3 linked regions of the Oryctolagus cuniculus genome follow. The protein of the gene in region 1 binds, or shares a complex with, the protein of each later gene. Links are inferred from orthologs where the notes say so. Each region holds a gene or a part of one and is shown on either strand. Other genes may lie near its edges.

Region 1 (7,217 bases):
GGATCGGAAGTGGAGCAGCTGGGACATGAACTGGGGCCCATATGGGTTGCTGGTGCCGCAGGTGGAAGCTTAGCCTACTATGCCACAGCACTGGCCTCTTGAACCTTCACTACTAACTAAGGAAACTAAAACTAAATTACAACAAGGTAATATTTTTTTTTAATTTAAGTAACTATTAAAAGGAACAGTATTAGACTATGAAGACAAATTCATACAATCTGGCAGAGTATGAACTGGAACACCTTTTCGAGTGCAGTCTGGAAACATATGAAAAGCCTTTGGAGGGGGGCAGTGCTGTGGTGTAAGGAGCTAAGCTGCCGCCTGAAATGCTGGTATCCTATATAGGTGCTGGTAGGAGTCCTGTCTGCTCTACTTCTGATCCAGCTCTCTGCTCTGGCCTGAGAAAGCAGTGGAAGATGGCCCAAGTCCTTGGGCTCCTATATCCATGTGGGAAACCTGCAAGAAGCTTCTGGCTCCAGGTTAGGTCTGGCCCAGCCCTGCCTGTTGGGACCTTTTGGGGAGAGAATCAGCAGATGGACAGTCTATCTGTAAAAGAAAAAGAAAAAGAAAAAGAAAAGCCTTTGAAAATGTTCATATTGTTTGAACCAGCAATTATACTTCTAGGAGTTTATTGTAGGAAGTAATGGACAAATATGCAAACATGTGTCCAAGGACACCTCAAAATGTTGTAAAAGGAAAAGACTCAACCCGCATAGTTACAGGATTGGTTACATTCCAGCTGAGCCACATAATGGGACAAATGGCAGCTATTAAAAATGAAGATTCATGGGTGTATCTGCTGATAGGAAAATATTTAGCTGTATACACCAACCACTGTTGAAAATCTGAAAAAGTATATGCCCAATTTATTGTACCCAAACATATATACTTAGAGTAAATGCTGCGATAGCATTAATTTTTTCTATATTTATAATGAGCTAACACCACTTTTATAATCAGAAAATATAATAAAGCTATTTCCATTTTCACAAAAATTATGTCCTAGAGGTAGAACTGTTGATATGAGAAATGCCATATATAATAGGAAAAGCAGGTTATGAAATAGGACTTTTATTTTTAAAAAAGATTTATTTATTTATTTGAAAGGCAGAGAGATCTTCCATTTACTGGTTCACTCCCCAAATGGCCACAAGAGCCAGGTCTGGGCCAGGTGGAAGCCAGGCACCAAGAACTCCTTCCTGCTCTCCCACATGAGTGGCAGCGAGTCCAAGTACTCGGGGCATCTGCTGCCTTCCATTAGCAGGAGCTGGATGGGAGTGGAGCAGCCAGGACCCAAACTGACACTGCAGAATGGGATGCCAGAGTTGCAAGCAGCAGCTTAGGCCACTGTGTCACAATGCTGGCTCCAGTATTTGACATTTTGCAAAACAAAACAAAAACCTTGTAAAAACTTATTAATTTTATAAGTTATATGTGTAGAGAAAACACCTGGGATCATATACATTAAAGTATTGGCAGTATATACCTCTTGGTGGCAGGGCGATGAGTTTTCTTTTTACTTATTCACATTTTCTATACTATAACAATGTATTAATTAGTTTATTTCCTCTTGAGTTAGAAATGTAGAGGCCAAGACAAATTTATTAAATTTGTGTGGTCAGGCTGGAGCTCTGAAAAGGGGAAGGAACAAAAAGAGACTTACTGCATCTTCTGAATCTCATCTTCATCCACTTTCTGCTTCTTCTCTTTCTTTTCTTTGGTATCGATTTTCAGTTTTTTGGCTGCAGGAGTAAGTAATGACGCGTCTTCCCTTTCACCTGCTGTTAAATCGGAGACGTCCTGACTTTTGAGCTGGGAAGATGAAAAGAACTCTATTATATATTTGTCCTACTTTCCAGGCTTGGCTAAGGTTAAGACATCATCCTCATAACACAACAGATCCACTTATTGTGTAGTTTTTTTGTCCCAGAACTGACTGTTCCACCCAGTATAAGATACAGTATCTCTCCTCAAGGAAGGTTAGTTAGGCTGTAGAAAGAACCAGTTAAATAATCTAGTTTTCCAGTTTAGCTATGATCACAGCTTCAGTGTCTGTATACAAGGATAAAGAAATGGCCAAGATCATGAAAACCACTCTCTCCATGGACTCTCTCTCCTGCTCATTCCTTACAGGGGATGTCACCAAAGCCCTCTCCAGCCAGCCAGCTCTTCTCCTCTGGATCCAAAGATATTTTTACTATTGACGATTCAATTTAGAAAGATTATTAAAAAGGAGGCCCTGGAGTGAAAATCTGAGATGCTGGTTGGGATGTCCATGTCCCCTATTAGAGTGTCTGAGCTGTTTTGGGCATTTGGAGTGTGAATCAGCAGATAGGCCATTTTTTTTTTCTAATAAGTACATTCTTTGAAAATCAAAAATATGTAGGGGCCAATGCTGTGGCATAGTGGGTTAAGCTGCTGTCTGCAGCACTGGCATCTCATATGAGTGCCAGTTCAAGTCCTGGCTGCTCTACTTCTGATCCAGCTCCCTGCTAATGTGCTTGGGAAAGCAGCAGAAGATGGCCCAAAGATGGCCCAAGTCCTTGGGCCCCTGCACCCATGTGGGAGACCTGGAAGAAGCTACTGACTCCTGGCTTCAGCCTGGCCCAGCTCTAGCCACTGTGACCATTTGGGGGAATGAACAGGCAGATGGAAGCTTGCTCACTCCCCACCCCCCACCCCCAACTTTGTGATTCTGACTTAAAGAATATTAATAAATATTTTACATACTTACATGCATTATGTTACATATTTAAAGCTAATCCACAGTGCTGGCCCCAACATAATCAATTTTTATCGAAAGGCAGAGTTACAGAGAGAGGGAGAGACAGAGTTCTTCCATCTGCTAGTTCACTCCCCAATTGGTCACAACCACCAGGGCTGGGCCAGGTGGAAGCCAGAAGTCCTACATGGGTGCAGGTGCTCAACTTGGGCCACCTTCAGCTGCCTTCCCAGGCACATCAGCAAGGGCCTAGACTGGAAGCGGAGCAGCCAGAACTGAACCAGTGCCCATATGGGATTCTGGGGTTGCAGGTAGCTTAACCTGCTGTGCCACAATGCTGGTCTTTGATTAATTTTTTTTTTTTTTTTTTTTTTTTTTTTTTTTTACAGGCAGAGTGGACAGTGAGAGAGAGAGAGACAGAGAGAAAGGTCTTCCTTTGCCGTTGGTTCACCCTCCAATGGCCGCCGCGGCCGGCGCGCTGCAGCCGGCGCACCGCGCTGATCCGATGGCAGGAGCCAGGTGCTTCTCCTGGTCTCCCATGGGGTGCAGGGCCCAAGGACTTGGGCCATCCTCCACTGCACTCCCTGGCCACAGCAGAGGGCTGGCCTGGAAGAGGGGCAACCGGGACAGAATCTGGCGCCCTGACTGGGACTAGAACCCGGTGTGCCGGCGCCGCAAGGCGGAGGATTAGCCTAGTGAGCCGCGGCGCCGGCCTAATTTTTAAAAATGTTTCAAAAGCATCATAATTCTATCCTCTGCTGGCTCCAAACTTCTATATTGTAGTGAGCTCCTTTAGTGGACCATGCTAATTATTCAATTCCTTTGCGTCCTTGAGACCCATTTTAACTTTTCCTTCTTCAGCTTTGTCAACTGTCTTCTCTTTTTCTAAAAGCTTACCGTGTATGTTTTGGTGACAAGGCTATCCATCTAACGTTCAGTCCATGAGCTCTTCAGTTCCTTCTGCCTCTAAGATCCTAGAAATTCTCTCTTTAGAAAAGGAACCCACAGGACGCTGAGATTCTGGTCGCGATTGTTGCGCGGTTAGGCAACCCTGCTGAGCTATCCTGAGAGCACAGCTGATGGATTTGGTGTTTTTACGTTATAGAAACCCCTGGACATTAGCACGGAGGACACTGCAGCAGCTGGATGAGAATATGACTTCAAAGTCTCCCGTTAACAGATCTGATCAACTCTGCCTCCTGTAAAGACGAAAGCTGTACTTAAACAACAATTAACTAAGAGGACCTATAGTGCGGTGAAAGGCGCGCTGGGAATCCTGGATTTTGGCTCTTGCACTAAGTCTCGGGATGACAGTACCGACTTCATCAATAGGAAAACCAAGAAGCTATTTAAAATTCACTTAGATGTAGCTTTAATCCCGAAAGGCAAGGACTAAACATATTAAAACCTAATGCTCGAGTCTCTGGAACCAAACCAGCACCACAGTTTTGTTGCTCCTCCCACACTCCCCGGACGGCAGATCTAGAGGGAATCGTGGCGAGCTCCGGGTAACACAATCCCGGCGTATGCCTCCAACCTCAGTCACACTTCTCTGCCTACCTCGCCTTCCTCCGCTGCCGCTTCTTTCAAGTCCGCGTCTCCGTCTCCGTCCGCTTCCTCCGGGATCCCGTCCGTGTCCGCAGTCCCCGGGCCCCCAGGAGCAGCAGTCGTCTCGTCTGACTCCCCTGCTTCCCCACCTTTGTCCGCAGGAGACTCGCGGGCATTGTCCATCACAGCTAGAACGGCAAGGGGAGGAGATCGCGGTGCTGTCGGCCGCGGAGCTCCGGACCTCGCGCGGCACAGTGGGCGCTTACTTCCTGTCGTCGCACCGCGATGTCGTCACCACTACTGGTCCTCGGAAGGGCCATGGGGGGCGCGCGGAGCACCTGAGGGCTCCGTTTGAATCCTGGGTGGGTGGTGCTGGAGAGAGAACGCTGAGGGTGCAAAGTCCCCTGTGGATCCGTCCTTGGAGACCAGCACCTGTGAAGAAGTGCAGTTGTGCTTCCTGAAGGGTTTCTTTTTCCTTTCCGTCGTTCTAAGAATGCTTTGTCAGTTAACCTCTTCCTCAAAGTTGGAGGACCTGGGAGAAAACTGCTCCTTTTGTACGCGGCTGTCGCGTAACCTTGGGGTAGCAAACTTTCAGGCAGGGACTCAACCTCCTTTATTTCACCTGGACAGACTGCGGGCCTGACTTTACATTGAATTGCCACCATTTCCCCTCTACGAATATTTCACGAGCACCTTAAAAAAAAAAAGTCCTATTGCTTGAGCAGTGTTTATCCAACCCATTCATTCACTCCACGAGTGTTGACTGCCTGTTTCTGAGTCCGGAGCAGCGCTAGTACAGGGAAAAAACATTTTCTACCGAATTAAATGATTTTTCCAGTTCGCCAGTGCTGAAAATCGGGATAGGTTTCTCAAGCCTGACTTCTGTTACCCACTCAGTCTCATCATGAGGAATCCCTACAGGGTGGGAGGTCTCTCCTTTGAGCGCTTCACTTTAATGAGCCATTTCACGGATTGGGATGGTGAAGGGGCTAGGATATTTCTGCTTTTAAAATGTCCTGCCTTTTTTCATTGAGGCACGCGGAGGGAGGGGCAGGGCGTTTTATTCACCTCTGTATTACCAGGCTCCCGCACCTGTTACATACTGCTTTATGCTTAAAGAACGGACTTGGAAATGTAGGTGCGTATTACCATATTTCTCTCTTTGTTTCCACACCGCCGGGACGAATTACCGTATTTCCTGTCCCGTGAGCTCCCAAAACCTTTGGAAAAGAAGCGCACTTTGGAGGCGTACACAGGTGGGTCCCCTTTGTCCCTTTCCACTTCTTCAATGGGTACCCACATGGCACTGCCCCATTGACCCCCAAGTCCTGTCCTGACACACCAAGGTCCACCTGCACAGGGACGCGGAGCCCCGCCCAGCTAGGTGGGCAAGGGGGCGGGGCATGGGGGCGCGGTGACGCGTGACGCCGGATCCCGGAAGTGACGCGCTCGTGGGGAAAAGGCGGGGGGGGAGGGGGGTGGTGTCCCCGGCCGGTTTAGGGGGTGCGTTGCCCGGAGACGGAAAGTTTGGGAGCCGAGCCGGCTCCACGGTGGCCCCGGGGTGGGGGGTCCTGGGGTGGCGGCCCTGGGGATGGGGAAGGAGCAGGAGCTGCTGGAGGCGGCCCGCACCGGGCACCTCCCGGCCGTGGAGAAGCTGCTGTCCGGGAAGCGGCTCTCCTCAGGCTTCGGGGGTGGCGGCGGCGGCTCCTCTGGGGGCAGTGGCGGCGGCGGCGGCGGCGGCGGCGGCCTCGGCTCTTCCAGCCACCCTCTCTCCAGTCTGCTCAGGTGGGTACGCGCCGGGGCCCGGCAGCCGCCTGGAGACCCCCCCCCCGCCCGCCCGTACGTCTTTTAGGTCCCTGGAGAGGTCGGGCTCCCGAGACCCGGCGGGGTGGGCTCGCGGCGTACTCGGGGAGCGAGGGCAGGCGGCCGGCGGGACAGGAAGCCGGAGGGGGCGCGGGTCCGAGTTGGCGCGGCGCTCCGCTCTCCTTGTCTCTCGGTCCTGACCCGGGTGCGAAGAATGGTGGGAGTGCCCAGGTGGCCGCTCCGCCGCATGGCACAGCCCGGCGTCACCCTCGCCCGCTGTGGGATGCCAGCTGTCGTTGCTTCACAAAAGCCACTTGAGAGCAAATGATCTGTGTGTGTGTATGGGACCTCCCTCACCTCCTGCAGAAGCTCCCACGGCTTGCAGAATGCCGCGGCTCTGCTGGAGGGGATTCCCTTCCCGCAGGAGCCTGCAGCCTTCCGCCAGGCTGTGCAGAACCTGGCTTCTGTTTATATCAGAATTGTCTCTGGATCGGTCACGTTCGGAGAGTTCGTCTTGGAGCCCCTCTCGTGCTTGAGGCTCGAATTGTGGTTCCTTGTAATGAGCCTCCTTGCAGGGTTCTTCTGGGGTCTGTTCATCAAGAAGTGAAAGTTTAGGAAGACTTGGTTGGGAAATGGAGGGGCGCTTTAAAATTTTCTGGGGTCTGTTGTTGGACACTTGAATCCGAAGCTGTGAGGTTCGAGAGGGGAAAATGAGTTCTGTGTCGCTTGGAAGGGGGATTGGAGATGCTTTGTCATTGAGTAAAATATGTTGGTTCAGCAGCACTTTCATAGCCTGTTTTCCTTCCTTGTTCTTTTGAGGTTTTTAAGAAGTGGAAGTTCATTTAGAAATGGCTTCGTTAGCTTCTGTTCCCCATTAATTTATGTTACTTCGATTTGGGTGAGCTTGGACCAAAAAAAGAAGCCCGAGTCAAGTATTTTAAGCACTGAGTACCAACCACGGTCTTCACAGGAAGATTTGGAAAGGCAGTGTAAGACAAGAACCCTTCCCGGGAGTTTCCTTAAGGAAAGAACAAACAAGCAGAGCAGTACCGTTTCCTGCTGTTTTGCCAGCCCTTACAATACTGGCCTATAGTAGATACGGATGATTTATCAAATCATACAAGTGTCAGCTGGAGGACCGCAG
Region 2 (7,053 bases), on another chromosome or scaffold:
CTCTAACCCTAACATAGCTTTCCACAGCTCTCAAGAAAAATACAAAAAAAGTTTTATTTAGGCTACCAGTTTGAGTTTTTAGTGACTTTCAGCCAAATTTACTCCTACCCAGGACAACTCCCCACTGCTCTTTACGACGAAGACCCTCAACATACCCTAAGAACCTGCTGTCACTCCAGTCCTAACCAATCCCTGAGCTTCCTGCTGTACCACACCCCCACTTCAGACCTTGCTCCTTTCAGTCTTTGCAGCTACCATGGTCCATTTTGCCACAGAGCTTTCAAACACTTTTCTCTCTTCTCTTCATATGGATAACTCTACCCAGTCTTTAGCTCTCACCTCAAGCATCGCTCCCTCTGGGATCCACCCCCCTCCGCGGCTCCCATTTTAGGTTCCTCTCCTTTATAAAGTACTTTCTGAGTTGCAATCTTAAATTTGCAGGATCACAGATATGTGTGTGTGTGTGTGTGTGTGTGTGTAATATATGGAAAAATTCACATACTTCTCAAAGAATGATTTTGCTTCATTCTCATGTTGATTGTAGACCAGCTCCAAGTACATGTGCACAAACAGAGGATAAAAGAGTTGGGATAACTCTGCCCGATGGCAGTCCAAAGAACATTCAATGAAGTGTTTGAGTCCACTATAGTATTCTTCATACATTGTCGGATCTCCTTGTTGGTTGTAGGCCGACAACACAGCACTGACATCTGGTTGGTCTTCCACAGCGACATTTCCAACTGTTAAAAAAATAAAAGATAACCTTTAAGAAAATGATATAATACGTACCATGTGACCATGGCTGTTTTGCTATGGTCCAGAGGTGAACTGTTTCTCAGATATTTGTCCCTTTTCTCTCAACCTCTCTTCCTTAAAATAATTACATAATCTTTTCATGAAATTCCACATTTGTCTCAGTTACCCAAGCCAAAACCCCATCAGCATGTCCATATCTTAAAATATCACATCAAGCTGGCGCCACGGCTCAATAGGCCAATCCTCCACCTAGTGGCACTGGCACACCGGGTTCTAGTCCCAGTCGGGGCGCCGGATTCTGTCCCGGTTGCCCCCCTTCCAGGCCAGCTCTCTGCTGTGGCCCGGGAGTGCAGTGGAGGATGGCTCAAGTGCTTGGGCCCTGCACCCCCTGGGAGACCAGGAGAAGCACCTGGCTCCTGGCTTCGGATCAGCGCAGTGCGCCAGCCGCAGCGCACCAGCTGCGGCGGCCACTGGAGGGTGAATCAACGGCAAAAGGAAGACCTTTCTCTCTGTCTCTCTCTCTCACTGTCCACTCTGCCTGTCAAAAAAAAAAAAAAATCACATCAATAACAAGAAGGTTTAATACCTTTTTTAATGGCGCTATCTGTTTTAAATGCAAATCGCATAAATGTAGGTATGGCCAAAGCAAAAAAACACATTAATCTCTCAAGGCTCAGTACAAATAGCACCCACCACCACCACCAGGACCACCAAACCGTGCCCTAGAGTAGCGCTCCAGGCTCTCCCAGCTACTCAGTACTTTGTAACATTCCTGTGATACATCCTATCCTGTATTACCTTCCTACATACACGTCTAAAGCCTCTATCTGCAGGGCCAGTATCCCACACGGGTGCTGCTGCTCCATGTCCAGTCTAGCTCCCTACTGATGTGCCTGGGAAAGCAGAAGATGGCCCAAGTCCTTGGGCCCCTGCACTAACATGGGAGACCCGGAAGAAGCTCCAGGCTCCTGGCTTCAGATCAGCCCAGCTCTGGCCATTGTGGCCATTGGGGAGTGAACCAGTGGATAGAAGACCTCTCTCTCTCCCTCTCTCTGTAACTCTGCCTTTCAAATAAATATTAAAATTAATAATATTTAATAATTTAATAATTAAAAGTAATAATAAATATTAAAAGTAAAATGTAGGCATTTTTAGAATGGGAAGGGCCACACCTAATTTTTTAAAATATATTTATTTATTTATTATTTGAAAGCAGAGGCAGAGAGAGAGAGAGAGAGAGGTCTTCCATCCACTGGTTCACTCCCCAAATGGCTGCAACAACCACAGATGGTCTGAGCCGAAGCCAGGAGCCAGGAGCTTCTTCCAAGGCCTGAGGATCTGGGCCAGCTTCTACTGCTTTCTCAGGCCACAGAAGAAAGCTGGACTGAAGTGGAGCAGCCAGGACTTGAACCCGTGTCCATATGGGATGTTGGCACTGCCCCACACCTAAAACTAACTCAATTGTATATGCTTAAAGCAATTTCCATAACCACTATTTCAAGGAAGAAGACAAAGTATCTATTTCTTTTTCTTTTTTCTTTTATTTTTTTTGACAGACAGAGTTAGACAGTGAGAGTGAGAGAAAGGTCTTCCTTTTTCCGTTGGTTCACCCCCTAAGTGGCCACTACGGCTGGAACGTTGCACCGATCCAAAGCCAGGAGCCAGGTGCTTCCTCCTGGTCTCCCATGCAGGTGCATCCTCCACTGCCTTCCTGGGCCACAGCAGAGAGCTGGCCTGGAAGAGGAACAACCGGGACAGAATCCAGCACCCCAACTGGGACTAGAACCCAGGGTGCCGGCGCCGCAGGCAGAGGATTAGCCTACTGAGCCGCATCGCCGGCCCAGAGTATCTATTTCTAATATAGGAATATCAAAGTTACATCTGTCAATCAAATTACTTTGGGTAAGTGGAAATTTAAATTGCAATAATAATACAGTTACGCTTTCTATGGCATAAATGTAATTCTTTGGGTTACTCTAATGGCCTCTTTTCCTCCTTACTGACTTCTCAATTATGATCTAAAAACTGATTTAGTTTCAGAATCAAGAGATGACAGTAAAATAACCAACAATATAACTCATTTTATAGTTCATTCACAAAATTCAATATTAAGAAGAAATTCCTCCCAACCACATTTTGGGCATTTCTATCTATGAAATACAACACTATGTATTCAAACTTCACTTCTGGCAATGCTGCAAAGATTAGGTCACATAAATACAGATTAATTTGGCTAGAGGCTCTGCAACATATAATTTAATTCAATGAATATTTATTGTTGGTTCAGGATCACCTTCAAGATCTTACATTGTGTATGAATTGTACTGCAAAGACTTATGACATTTACTGGAAGAAAGGTGTGGTCTCGGGTGTCAGGGATGGAGAGGAAAGAGCCTATCAGCACAAGGCATTTTACAGATATTACATCTGAGTCTCATAAAAACTCAGTTAATAGAAAAAAAAAAAAGTAACCTTAGGAAAAAATGAGTCAATCAACATCACACAAGTAAAAGCAGCAGAGACAAAGAGGTCTGTCCACCTTATGGCTCCTAAAACTTAGAGTTCTCAAACTTCACGACCCATCCATACTTCTTGGAAGCACCAACTCAAAAACGCAGGTTCCCAGACTCTACCTCTAAGGGTCTGATTCCCTCCGTCTGAAATGATGCCCCGAAGACACAGCACTGCTGGTGCCTAGCCCGTATTTTGAGAAATGCTGGGTACACCATGTTCCATCACTCCCTGGCTACCGAGACCCAAGGCAAGCTCCTTGGGATCGCTCAAGAAATCTGTTTCCTTGTCTCCAAAATAGAGGTCATGTCCGCCTCAATGAAACTGTGAGAACCGAGACTGCCAAGTATTTACAGCTTAAAATACGCCAGTACAGAATTCCACAAAGACTGTCGCTGTCAATGCAGACTTGCCCAAAGCTTAAAAGCCCAAACGGGAGAAAAGGGGCCGAAGCCTGGAGGTCCCCGCCTCCCCGCGCCCACCTTCCCCACACAGCTCAGATCCACAGCTCTGTTCAGCCTCTCGCTGCAACTGACAGCTCAGACGAGGGTTGACTGCGCAGCCGGCGCACTCGGGAAAGGGGCGGGCATGTGGCCCTAGAGGCGGGCCCAGGAAATTCAAAACAAGCCCGCAGAGGTGCAGGCCTGCCAGCCCTCGCCTTCCCGGCTAGCTCCCCTTCGCGCCGGCCCGGCTTCCCCGGGACCCCCCGGCTCACCTTTCCCCGGAGCCGCAGGACCTGAGGCTGAGCCGGAGACAACCGTCGCCCCCGAAGCGCCGGTGCCCGGAGGGTCGGGGGCCGCCGGGCCGGGGGCCGAGGCGGTGACCCGGCTGAGAAGCGAGCTAGCCGCCTCAGCGCCGGCGCCGTCCACCTCTCCCGGGGCTCCGGAGCCCGCTACTGCCTCTTCCAGCAGCCGGGCCTCGCGGCGCAGCGCCTCTTCGGCCTCGCGGAGGTTGCTCTGCCGTAGAAACTGCAGCACCGCCAGCAGAGTCTGTCGGTCGTGGGGAGCACCAGCCTCCGAGGCAGCGGCAGGTACCGGAGCCGCCCCCGCCGGGGCAGCAGCGGAGACAGCCACCGCGGGCTTGGGGGTCCCGCCATCCCCGCCGGCCGACGACGCCGCCGCAACGTTCCCGCCACTGCCGTTGGGGCCGTTGTTGGTAATGCCGACGGTGCCCTCGCCTGTGCCGTCACCCGCCTGCGGAGGTAGCAGCGTCGGTGGTCCCTCAGACTCTAGCTTGACCGCCACCTCCGTCTGCTCCTCCGCCAGCGCCGCCATCTTGCGGCTGAGCCACCTCGCGCCGTCAAGCGTGATTGCGTTTTCGCCACATGGAGGGCGGGGAGGAGCATTTCACGACAGCTCTGGTCGGCTATTTACGGCAGTAGGAGGAGCGAGAGAGAAGGAGAAAAGGGCTGGGAGCGAGAGCAACTTTCAAAAAATGAGCGAAAGGCCGGCAGGAAGTGGGAGTTGGTGACCGCCTCTATATTTGCCTGACCATAATTACTGTTTATTGCAGGCCAGTTATATTCAGGCACTGTGATAGACGATCTTCGTTATTATATGGAAGCCTTTAATTCAACAGTCTTTAGAAGTGGCTTAACTACAACCCAGAGAGGTTAAATAACTTGCTGAAGTCACACACAAGAAGTCTTAAGTGTCACGACTCAAAGCCATGTTCTTAGCACTAAAGCACGCGTCGTTTGCCCGAAGGATGCTTCCAAGATACTGCTAATGTTTTGCATTTTGATGTGGATAGTGGTTACTTCCTTTTTTTTTTTTTTTTTTTTTTGGCAGTTCTTACAAATCGAGTTGCATGCTTAAATAATTTTGTGAACGTTACAGCATACATATAAATATTTTAAAGATTTATTTTTTTATTTGAAAGAGATAGAGACAGAGAACGAAGTCTTCCATCTGGTTCACTCCCCAGTTGGCTGCAATGGCCAGAGCTAAGCTGAGCTGATCCAGAGCCAGGAGCCGGGAACTTCTGTTGGGTCTCCCACGTGGGTGCAGGGGCCCAAGTACATGGGCCATCTTCCACTGCTTTCCCAGGTGCATTAGCAGAGAGCTGGATCAGAAGACTTGGGCACTGGAACCAGCACCCATATGGGATGTTAGCACTGCAGGCCGGGGCTTTAACCCTGTGAGTCATAGCACTGGCCTCAGCATATATATATATATATATATATATATATATATATATATACATACATATACATTTAAGATTTTTATTTCTTTATTTGAGAGGTAAAGTTACAGACAATGAGAGGGAAAGGCAGAGAGAAAGGTCTTCCTTCCGTTGGTTCACTCCCCAAATGGCCACAACAGCCGGAGCTGTACCCATCTGAAGCCAGGAGCCAGGTGCTTCTTCCTGGTCTCCCATGCAGGTGCAGGGGCTCAAGGATTTGGGCCATCCTCTACTGCTTGCCCAGACCATAGCAGAGAGCTGGGTTGGAAGAGGAGCAGCTGGGACATGAACCAGCGCCCATATGGGATACCAGCAGTGCAGGCAGAAGATTAACCTACTGCACCATGGCACTGGCCCCAGCATATACATTTCAATAAAAAGTTTTAAAGTACTGGAAGTTTGTGATTGTGAAATTTGTACGTTGTATATTCCAACTGCTATCCATTATTACAAGTAAATTGTATATTTTAACTGTTTGAAAGAGAGATCATCCATCTGCTGGCCCAAAATACCTGCAACAACCAGGCCAGGGACAGCTGAAACCAGGCACCCAGAACTCAATCTGGATCTCCCACTTGGGTACTAAGGATCCAACCATTTGGGCCCTCACTTGCTGTCTTCCAGAGTGCCCACTAGCAAGGAAGCTGGAATGAGAAGTAGAGCCAGGACTCAAACCCAGGTACACCAATGTGATATACAGGTATTGCAAGCATCATCCTACCAGCTGCCCCAGGTGTCCTCCCCCACTAGTAGTTGGTTTAACTTCACCTTAAAAGGTATTCTGTAGGAGTTGGTGCTATGATGTATCGGCATAGTAGGCTAAGCCTCCGACTGCAGCAGCAGAATCCCATATGAGCGGTGGTTCGAGACTTGGCTGCTCCACTTCCAATCCAGCTCTCTGCTATGGCCTAGGAAAGTAGAAAAAGATGGTCCAAGTGCTTGGGCCCCTGCATCTGCTTGGGAGACCTGGAAGAAGCTCTTGGCTCCTGGCTTTAAATCAGACCAGCTCTGGCTGTTGCAGCCATTCGAGGAATGAACCAGCAGATGGAAGATCTTTCTCTCTATGCCTCCCTCTCTCTGTAACTCTACCTCTCAAATAAATAAATCTTTTTAAAAAAAAGTATTCTGTAAATGTTTAATCAAAAATTGAATCCTTGCCATCCACTGGAAAGCTTCAGATTAAGCTCCTGATTTCTGGCTTTGGCTTGGCGCAGACCTGGCTGTTGCATGTACTTGGGAAGTGAAAACTGAAGCATGATTTCCCTCTCTCTCTCTCTCTCCCTCCCTCCCTCTCTCTCTCCCTCTCCCTCTTTATCTCTCTCTTTTTTTAAGAATTTTTTATTTATTTATTGGAGAGGTAGAGTTACAGACAGTGAGAGGGAGAGACAGGGAAAGGCCTTCCCTCCACTGGTTCACTCCCCAAATGGCTGCTACAGCCAGAGCTGCACCAATCTGAGGCCAGGAGCCAGGAGCCTCCTCCAGGTCTCCCACGTGGGCGCAGGGGCCCAAGCACTTAGGCCATCCTCCACTGCCTTCCCAGGCCATAGCAGACAGCTGGATTAGAAGAGGAGCAGCCAGGACCAGAACCAGCACCCATATAGG
Region 3 (7,011 bases), on another chromosome or scaffold:
GAATTCCAATCTACTGGAAAAAAGAATCAGCGAAATTGATAATTTACTTAAGATCAGTGAAAATGAGAGATACTACCAAGGAAAAACAGCTACCATGCAGGTACATTGATACTGTCTGACCCCATGCCCTCCCACACCCTATCTTTCTGAGAACTGACACGCACTGGGCAACGAAGTACAGCCTGGGGTTAAGCTGAATCACCAACCACCATTCGTGTGTCTCTTTCTTCTTCTTCTTCTTTTTTTTTTTTTTTTTGAGACAGGCAGAGTGGACAGTGAGAGAGAGAGAAAGGTCTTCCTTTTGCCGTTGGTTCACCCTCCAATGGCCGCCGCGGCCGGCGCACCGCGCTGATCCGATGGCAGGAGCCAGGAGCCAGGTGCTTTTCCTGGTCTCCCATGGGGTGCAGGGCCCAAGCACTTGGGCCATCCTCCACTGCACTCCCTGGCCACAGCAGAGAGCTGGCCTGGAAGAGGAGCAACCGGGACAGAATCCGGCGCCCCGACCGGGACTAGAACCCGGTGTGCCGGCGCCACAGCAGAGGATTAGCCTAGTGAGCCGCGGCGCCGGCCTTTCTATGCTCTTTCATTCGAGAGTTTTTAGCCTTTTCTTTGTGACTGGGCTTGCAAACACTTTTTCAAAATTAAAATTGTGCTTTTAGGTTCAGTTGTTCCAGAACTTATTAACAGACTTGTTTAGATCACTAATTTCAAAAAAAAATGGGCACCATTATTCTGATAGCAGTCAGTCATTAAGAGCATGTGTAAAAACACCTAATTCATTTAGGTAACTATCACATGGCCATTTTAGTGTGACATACCTTTGTGGAAGACACCTTTGGTCTAAGAAAAGTGTTTGACATCATAAATCTTAATAGTTCCCATGCGTAGTACACAATCTGTAGCACAACAAAGTATAAATCACCTAGAGGAAATAGGAAAAACTCACTTCAAGTCAAGAACTGTAAGCACAGTTAAGTCGATATAACCAACAACATAACAACATCAAGGCTCAAGAACTAGTGAAAGCAAGCATGGTAAACAGGAGAAAAATCAGAACGTTACAACAAGTTAGAGGAATCTATCTGATGTTTTTTATGAGAAAACACAGCAACATATTTGGGTGCTGACCTTCTCTCAAAAAGAAAAATCAGGCAATTCTGAGAAGTTTTTAACACCAAAAATTAAACTATTCCTTTACTCCAATCCGTTGCAAGCTATTACATCTTCATTTCTAAAGTTTCAAAAAAAGGCAAGATACAATGAATTCAGACATATCAGTTACTTTGAATAAAACAGTTGAATCTCACTGTCAGTTTTTCTAGAACTTCCTTTGAGCACGCCATCAGAAAACGTCTTGGCATCACTGTTTTCCGATTTGCGTGATTCGTCAATACTGATGGAAAGCAGTGAATTCAACCATTTTAGGGCCGCCAGGAGGAACGATTTTCAAGGCCAACAAACTGTACCCTGGGAAGGTGTACTGGACTATCTGAGGAGGCACACTTCCACACACTGGCAGTCATTCACCTCTGAGAGTAGACCGCTATCAGCAATGCACAGTAGCAAAAAAAAAAAAAAAAAAAAAAAAAAAATCGATTCAATGTAGCCGACAGTCAGCACTGCAGCCGCTCAGTGAAAGCGAGACCGACAATTACCTCCTTGGAAAAGCAGGTAACTGTCAGCGACGATGCCCGTTTCCTGAAATTAGATGTCAGAGGCAGAAGACACGTTCAGGACCATCCCGAGCCCACCCACCACCACCCCACGCGCTGCACAGCCGGTCCTGAGCTCAGACATTCGTTCAGCGCCATCCTGCAACCAGCCGGCAGCCAGGCTGAGCTCGTCGGTCCCCGCTCCAGGCCGGGGCACCGCAACCCCGTCTCTCTCGTCCCAGGCGGGACGGGAGGGCATGGAGGCAGAGATGGGCTCGCGCGTCCAGGACACACACAGAAAACACCGCCACAACCGCGACGGCCTTACTTTCCGGGAGCCGCATTCCCCTCCCTCGTGGGCGGAGAGGAGCCAAGGAGCGCGGGGCCGGCTCCGGTGTTGGGGTGGCCACCCGACCCTCCCCGGGCTCGGCACCGAGCCTCTCGGGGGTCCCGCCTCCCGGGGTCCTTCCACACCCGTCGGCGCCTCGGCGACGCGGCGCGAAGGGCGGGGGCCCCAGGCGCGCGAGCGACATAGGCATCCAGCGCACTGCCTGACTCAGAGCGCGCAGCGAGCTGGCTCCCGGCCTCCATTCACGCCACGGAAGCGTGTCACAGAAGCCCAGGGAACCGCTGGCGGCGGCTGGGACTGCGGAGCTGGGCCGGGAGCGGGCGCCCGGCACGGCCTCGAGGACCCCGCGGCCGCCGGCGCTGGCGCTGCCCGCCCCTTCCGGCTCCTCCTCGCGGTGCGTAGGGCGCGCGCAGAGGAGGCGCTCGGGGCGTCCGCCGGGACGACTATGCGGCTGCCGAACATTCTGCTCACCGGTCAGGGCGCGCGGCGGGGACGGGACGCGCGGGGGGCTCCGGGCGCCGGGCGGGGAGCGCCGGGCTGCAGCGGGCGGCCGGGCGGGGGCCGCGGGGCGCGACGGTGGCCGGGGCCTGCGGACGCGGCGCGGGGCGGGGGCGGCCGCGGGGCGCGGGGAAGCCGGCCGGGACCCGGCGCTCCGGTGTGGGCAGGCTCCGTTATCTTTATAATAGAGACCCTGGTGTTCTGCTCGGAAAGCCAGCTTTGGCGTCTCTGGTCGGGTTGCTTTGGGGTTTCCCGGAGGTAACGTGCGGAAGCGTGTCGGCCATGGCGGAGGCCTCGCGTCGTGGGCCTTCGCGGGTGGGCGCGGGTGCTGGCGGCGTGGCGGAGCGCGTGCAGTCACTGCGGCCGTGTGCTGGGGTAGTGTCCAGGCGCCTGCCTCCCTTTGTGATGGGAGCGCACGCTGTGGAGCCCCCGGCTGCTCGTGAGCCCCTGCGGGTCTCGGACACTGACCCGCTGTGGCCAGCGAAGCGGCTAGAACGCTGGGCCTCTAGGCCTGAGACGTGTCCGTTGAGAGCGTCCTGCGCCGTTCGTGGGGGAATCTATGGAGCGTATCGAAGTATTAAGAGATTGTGAAGAGTTGTGTTTTTTTTTTTTTTTTTTGAAGATTTGTTTGTTTGAAAGTTACAGGGAGAGGGAGGGAGGAGACGCAGATCTCGCATCTGCTGCGCTGGTTCACTCCCGGCAGGATCGCAGTGGCGGGGGCTGAGCCAGGCAAAGCCAGGAGCTTCACCCGGGTCTCCTGCACGGGTGGCAGGGGCCCAAGCAGTTGAGCCGTCTGCCACTGCTTTCCCCCGGCCCTGAGCAGGGAGCCGGACTGAAGTGGAGCAGCCAGACACCACGGGCACTCGTACAGGGTGCTGGAGTGGAAGGCAGCGGCTTTGCCCCTACTCCACAGCCCTGAACCCTGAAAAGGTTTTTTCCCTTCAACATTTAACGAAACTTGACATTTTTGGCAGCCCACAAAGATTGTTCCTAGGTGCTGCGCAGTAGCCCCTCAGCTAGTGAGTTTTTAGCCTGTGAGATTCATTATGATGAAGATTTTGCAGCATCTGATTTGCATGGATTAGTGTCCTGATTAATGCTGTAAAAAAAAAATCTGGTGTGAATATTTTAATGAAAGTTGAGTCCAGGGTTCAGACTTGGTATAATATAGTAGACAGGGGTTAAATGTCCTGCATGTGGAGATTGGATTTATACATGTTAATAATGCTCAGATGTAATCATTAAAGTGTCATTAAACATTGAGAAGCTGAAAATTATGCGTTTGATTATCTTGGAATATAATTCTTTTAGACGTAAAAGGGGAAAGGTATAGAACAATGCATAGTATTACCATTTATGTAAAAGGCAATACAAGTGGCATGTGTTTTTGCACATAGGATATGCTACCTACACCTACTTCTGTGTATAGACACACATGCATAGGACTTCTTCGGAAAGGTATGCAAAAGACTAGTTACAGTGGTTCCCAGACTAAGGTTTGTTCCATGAGCAATTTTTTTTTTTTTTTTTTTTTTTTCTTTTTGGACAGGCAGAGTTAGACAGTGAGAGAGAGAAACAGAGAGAAAGGTCTTCCTTCTGTTGGTTCACCCCCCAAATGGTTGTTACGGCTGGCGCGCTGCGCCGATCCGAAGCCAGGAGCCAGGTGCTTCTCCTGGTCTCCCATGGGGTGCAGGGCCCAAGCACTTGGGCCATCCTCCACTGCACTCCCAGGCCACAGAAGAGAGCTGGACTGGAAGAGGAGCAACTGGGACAGAATCCGGCGCCCCCACCGGGACTAGACCCCGGAGTGCCTGTGCCGCAGGCGGAGGATTAACCTAGTGAGCTGCGGTGCCGGCCAATGAACAATTTCTTAATCTTTTAAAATAAAAGCAAATAAATGACAGTAATTGATTTGAGGTGGCTGATTTTATTGTGGGCAGTCTGACGTTGGTGGCAGCAGTCAGAATTTGTATTCCCACCCATGGAGAAACATTGCGTGATTCTGACATCCAGAGCTTTTTTGCAGAAAAATTTTTTTAATTCGGGAGAGCACTCATGCATGTTCTCATCCACTGATGGACTCCCCAAATGCCTGTGCTGCCAGAAACCAGGAAGTCAGCTCAGTCCTGCTACCTGGATACTTGAGCAGTCCTCTGCCTCCTGGGATCTGCATTGGCAGGAAGCTGAAGTCAGGAGTCAGAGCCAAATACCGAACTTAGTCTAAACTCAAACATGGGAGGTGGGCATCCTAACCTCTACAGACACCTGCCCTGGGAGATTTTGTTTAGTTGGTTTTGTATATTCACATCTGGTTGCTTACTACTATTTTTGTATATTCACATCTGGTTGCTTTCCTACTAGGAAAGTTGTTAAGAACCTTACAAAGGGTGGAAGTAGTTGAAGTCTATAATAGTATTTCATAGGCATTTTTCTGTGATTTGTCTTACAGGTACTCCAGGGGTTGGGAAAACCACACTAGGCAAAGAACTTGCATCAAGATCAGGACTGAAATACGTTAATGTGGGTGATTTAGCTCGAGAAGGTAAGGGGATGCTTTAGTGTTGGGTTTTTGTTTTTGTTTTTGTTTTTGTTTTTCTTGCAGTCGGCTAGTGGAATTATTGGTACTGTTAGGTATTGTGAGAGGGTACAAAAGCAGAGACAGATTCCTATTATGGAATTTGTGCTCTATCCGGAGCCTACAGAAAAAGAAGATACTAAGTGTCCAATACTGTGTCCTTTTTATTTTGATTATTTCCACCTCCTTCTCCCCAAATTGGCTAGCAATTCTTGTGAGTAGAAATAATTAGGAAGGCTTCCATGAAGAAATTGGGACTTGGGATCTGAATATGAGGCAGAAGGAGAATGTTTTGAGTTGGACAAACACAGAGGTTTGGGTGATGCCACACATATATAGGACAGTGAGTAAATTGACAACATTAGAAAGATTAATTTTGAATTCAAGCAGTAGAATATGATTGTTCTATAGTATTAGATTATTTCAAAGCGGTGCATGTTTTTACAGATTTAACCATATTTTCCCCTAGTTTTTTAGTTAGTCCTTTATTTTTGTCTTCATCTTTTTATACTCTAGAATGATTTTTAACAGGGTAGGAACTCAGTAAGTGTAAGTAAAGGAAACTTTTAAGTGTGTCTTGTTGAAATTAAAAATATTTAACATGTTTTAAAATTTAAATTTATTTTTTAAAGGATATAACGCATATTTTAAAAAACTAAGTTCCTAGAAGTTGCTACTGAAGTTTTTCAGTTTGATCTAATATACATATTTTTTTCAAGTGATCTAAAGTTTGATCACCGGATATCATGGAGTCTGGCAAGATGGCTTCTCCCAAGAGCATGCCGAAAGATGCACAGATGATGGCACAAATCCTGAAGGATATGGGGATTACAGAATATGAGCCAAGAGTTATAAATCAGATGTTGGAGTTTGCATTCCGATATGTGACCACAATTCTAGATGATGCAAAGATTTATTCGAGCCATGCTAAGAAAGCTACTGTTGATGCAGACGATGTGCGGTTGGCAATCCAGTGTCGTGCTGACCAGTCTTTTACTTCTCCTCCCCCAAGAGATTTTTTATTAGATATTGCAAGGCAAAGAAATCAAACCCCTTTGCCATTGATCAAACCATATTCAGGTCCTAGATTGCCACCTGATAGGTACTGTTTAACCGCTCCGAACTATAGGCTTAAGTCTTTGCAGAAAAAGGCGTCTACTTCTGCAGGAAGAATAACGGTTCCGCGGTTAAGTGTTGGGTCAGTTACTAGCAGACCAAGTACTCCCACACTAGGCACCCCAACTCCACAGACCATGTCTGTTTCTACTAAAGTAGCTACTCCAATGTCCCTCACAGGACAGAGGTTCACAGTACAGATGCCTGCTTCACAGTCACCCGCTGTGAAGGCATCAATTCCTGCAACATCAGCAGTTCAGAATGTTCTCATTAATCCATCGTTAATTGGGTCCAAAAACATTCTTATTACCACTAATATGGTGTCATCACAGAATACTGCCAGTGAAACAAATGCATTGAAAAGAAAACGTGACGATGATGATGACGATGACGATGATGATGATGATGACTATGATAATTTGTAATCTAACCTTGATGCATGTCATGTGTACTTGGTCTTGAATCCATTGTACTGAAATTAAACAAGTATGTTTGATGTTTTCAAGTTGTGTTTGAGAAAACCTGTATAGTATTTAAGTATATATAAGTATAGTTTTCAGTTGAAATGTTGGATTTTCTTTAATAAGATTAGTAGTGGTTTTTCATCAGCCTTTAAGTGTAAAAAATAAAGTTGTTTATCTGTTTGATTATTGGTACTGTGGCGATTATGTTTTTAAAAACGCAGTTTTTGTGCATTGTTAACAGCAGTAATAGTTGTAATAACTTCAAGCTGTTGTAGTCCATTACCATTAACATGTAACCTCTAATGTCTTCAGATGCTTAGATCATAATATGACCCCTGGAGAACACACTCTTAGGGT

Evidence for each region. The genes of interacting proteins can lie anywhere in the genome.
Region 2: TAF11 (region 1) and TAF5 share a complex: the UniProt entries of both Homo sapiens proteins name them as parts of the TFIID basal transcription factor complex. The link is inferred for Oryctolagus cuniculus from reciprocal best matches to the Homo sapiens genes TAF11 and TAF5.
Region 3: TAF11 (region 1) and TAF9 share a complex: the UniProt entries of both Homo sapiens proteins name them as parts of the TFIID basal transcription factor complex. The link is inferred for Oryctolagus cuniculus from reciprocal best matches to the Homo sapiens genes TAF11 and TAF9.

Annotation. Positions count from the first base shown.
Region 1 is NC_091436.1:134,548,328-134,555,544, reverse strand, and holds the start of TAF11 (transcription initiation factor TFIID subunit 11), read right to left. Parts: upstream 4,563-7,217; 5' UTR 4,454-4,562; coding exon 4,283-4,453; intron 1,813-4,282; coding exon 1,664-1,812; intron 1-1,663. Other genes in the region: ANKS1A (ankyrin repeat and SAM domain-containing protein 1A), read left to right, coding at 5,862-6,055. UniProt on the Homo sapiens protein: The TFIID basal transcription factor complex plays a major role in the initiation of RNA polymerase II (Pol II)-dependent transcription.
Region 2 is NC_091446.1:26,644,242-26,651,294, forward strand, and holds the start of TAF5 (transcription initiation factor TFIID subunit 5), read right to left. Parts: upstream 4,585-7,053; 5' UTR 4,542-4,584; coding exon 3,983-4,541; intron 741-3,982; coding exon 503-740; intron 1-502. UniProt on the Homo sapiens protein: The TFIID basal transcription factor complex plays a major role in the initiation of RNA polymerase II (Pol II)-dependent transcription.
Region 3 is NC_091445.1:90,325,160-90,332,170, reverse strand, and holds TAF9 (transcription initiation factor TFIID subunit 9), read left to right. Parts: upstream 1-2,427; 5' UTR 2,428-2,474; exon of another isoform or gene 2,475-2,547; intron 2,548-2,765; exon of another isoform or gene 2,766-2,781; coding exon of another isoform or gene 2,782-3,073; intron 3,074-4,948; coding exon of another isoform or gene 4,949-5,041; intron 5,042-5,793; 5' UTR 5,794-5,820; coding exon 5,821-6,615; 3' UTR 6,616-6,837; downstream 6,838-7,011. Other genes in the region: cell cycle checkpoint protein RAD17, read right to left, coding at 819-922, 1,981-2,191; AK6 (adenylate kinase isoenzyme 6), read left to right, coding at 2,782-3,073, 4,949-5,041. UniProt on the Homo sapiens protein: The TFIID basal transcription factor complex plays a major role in the initiation of RNA polymerase II (Pol II)-dependent transcription.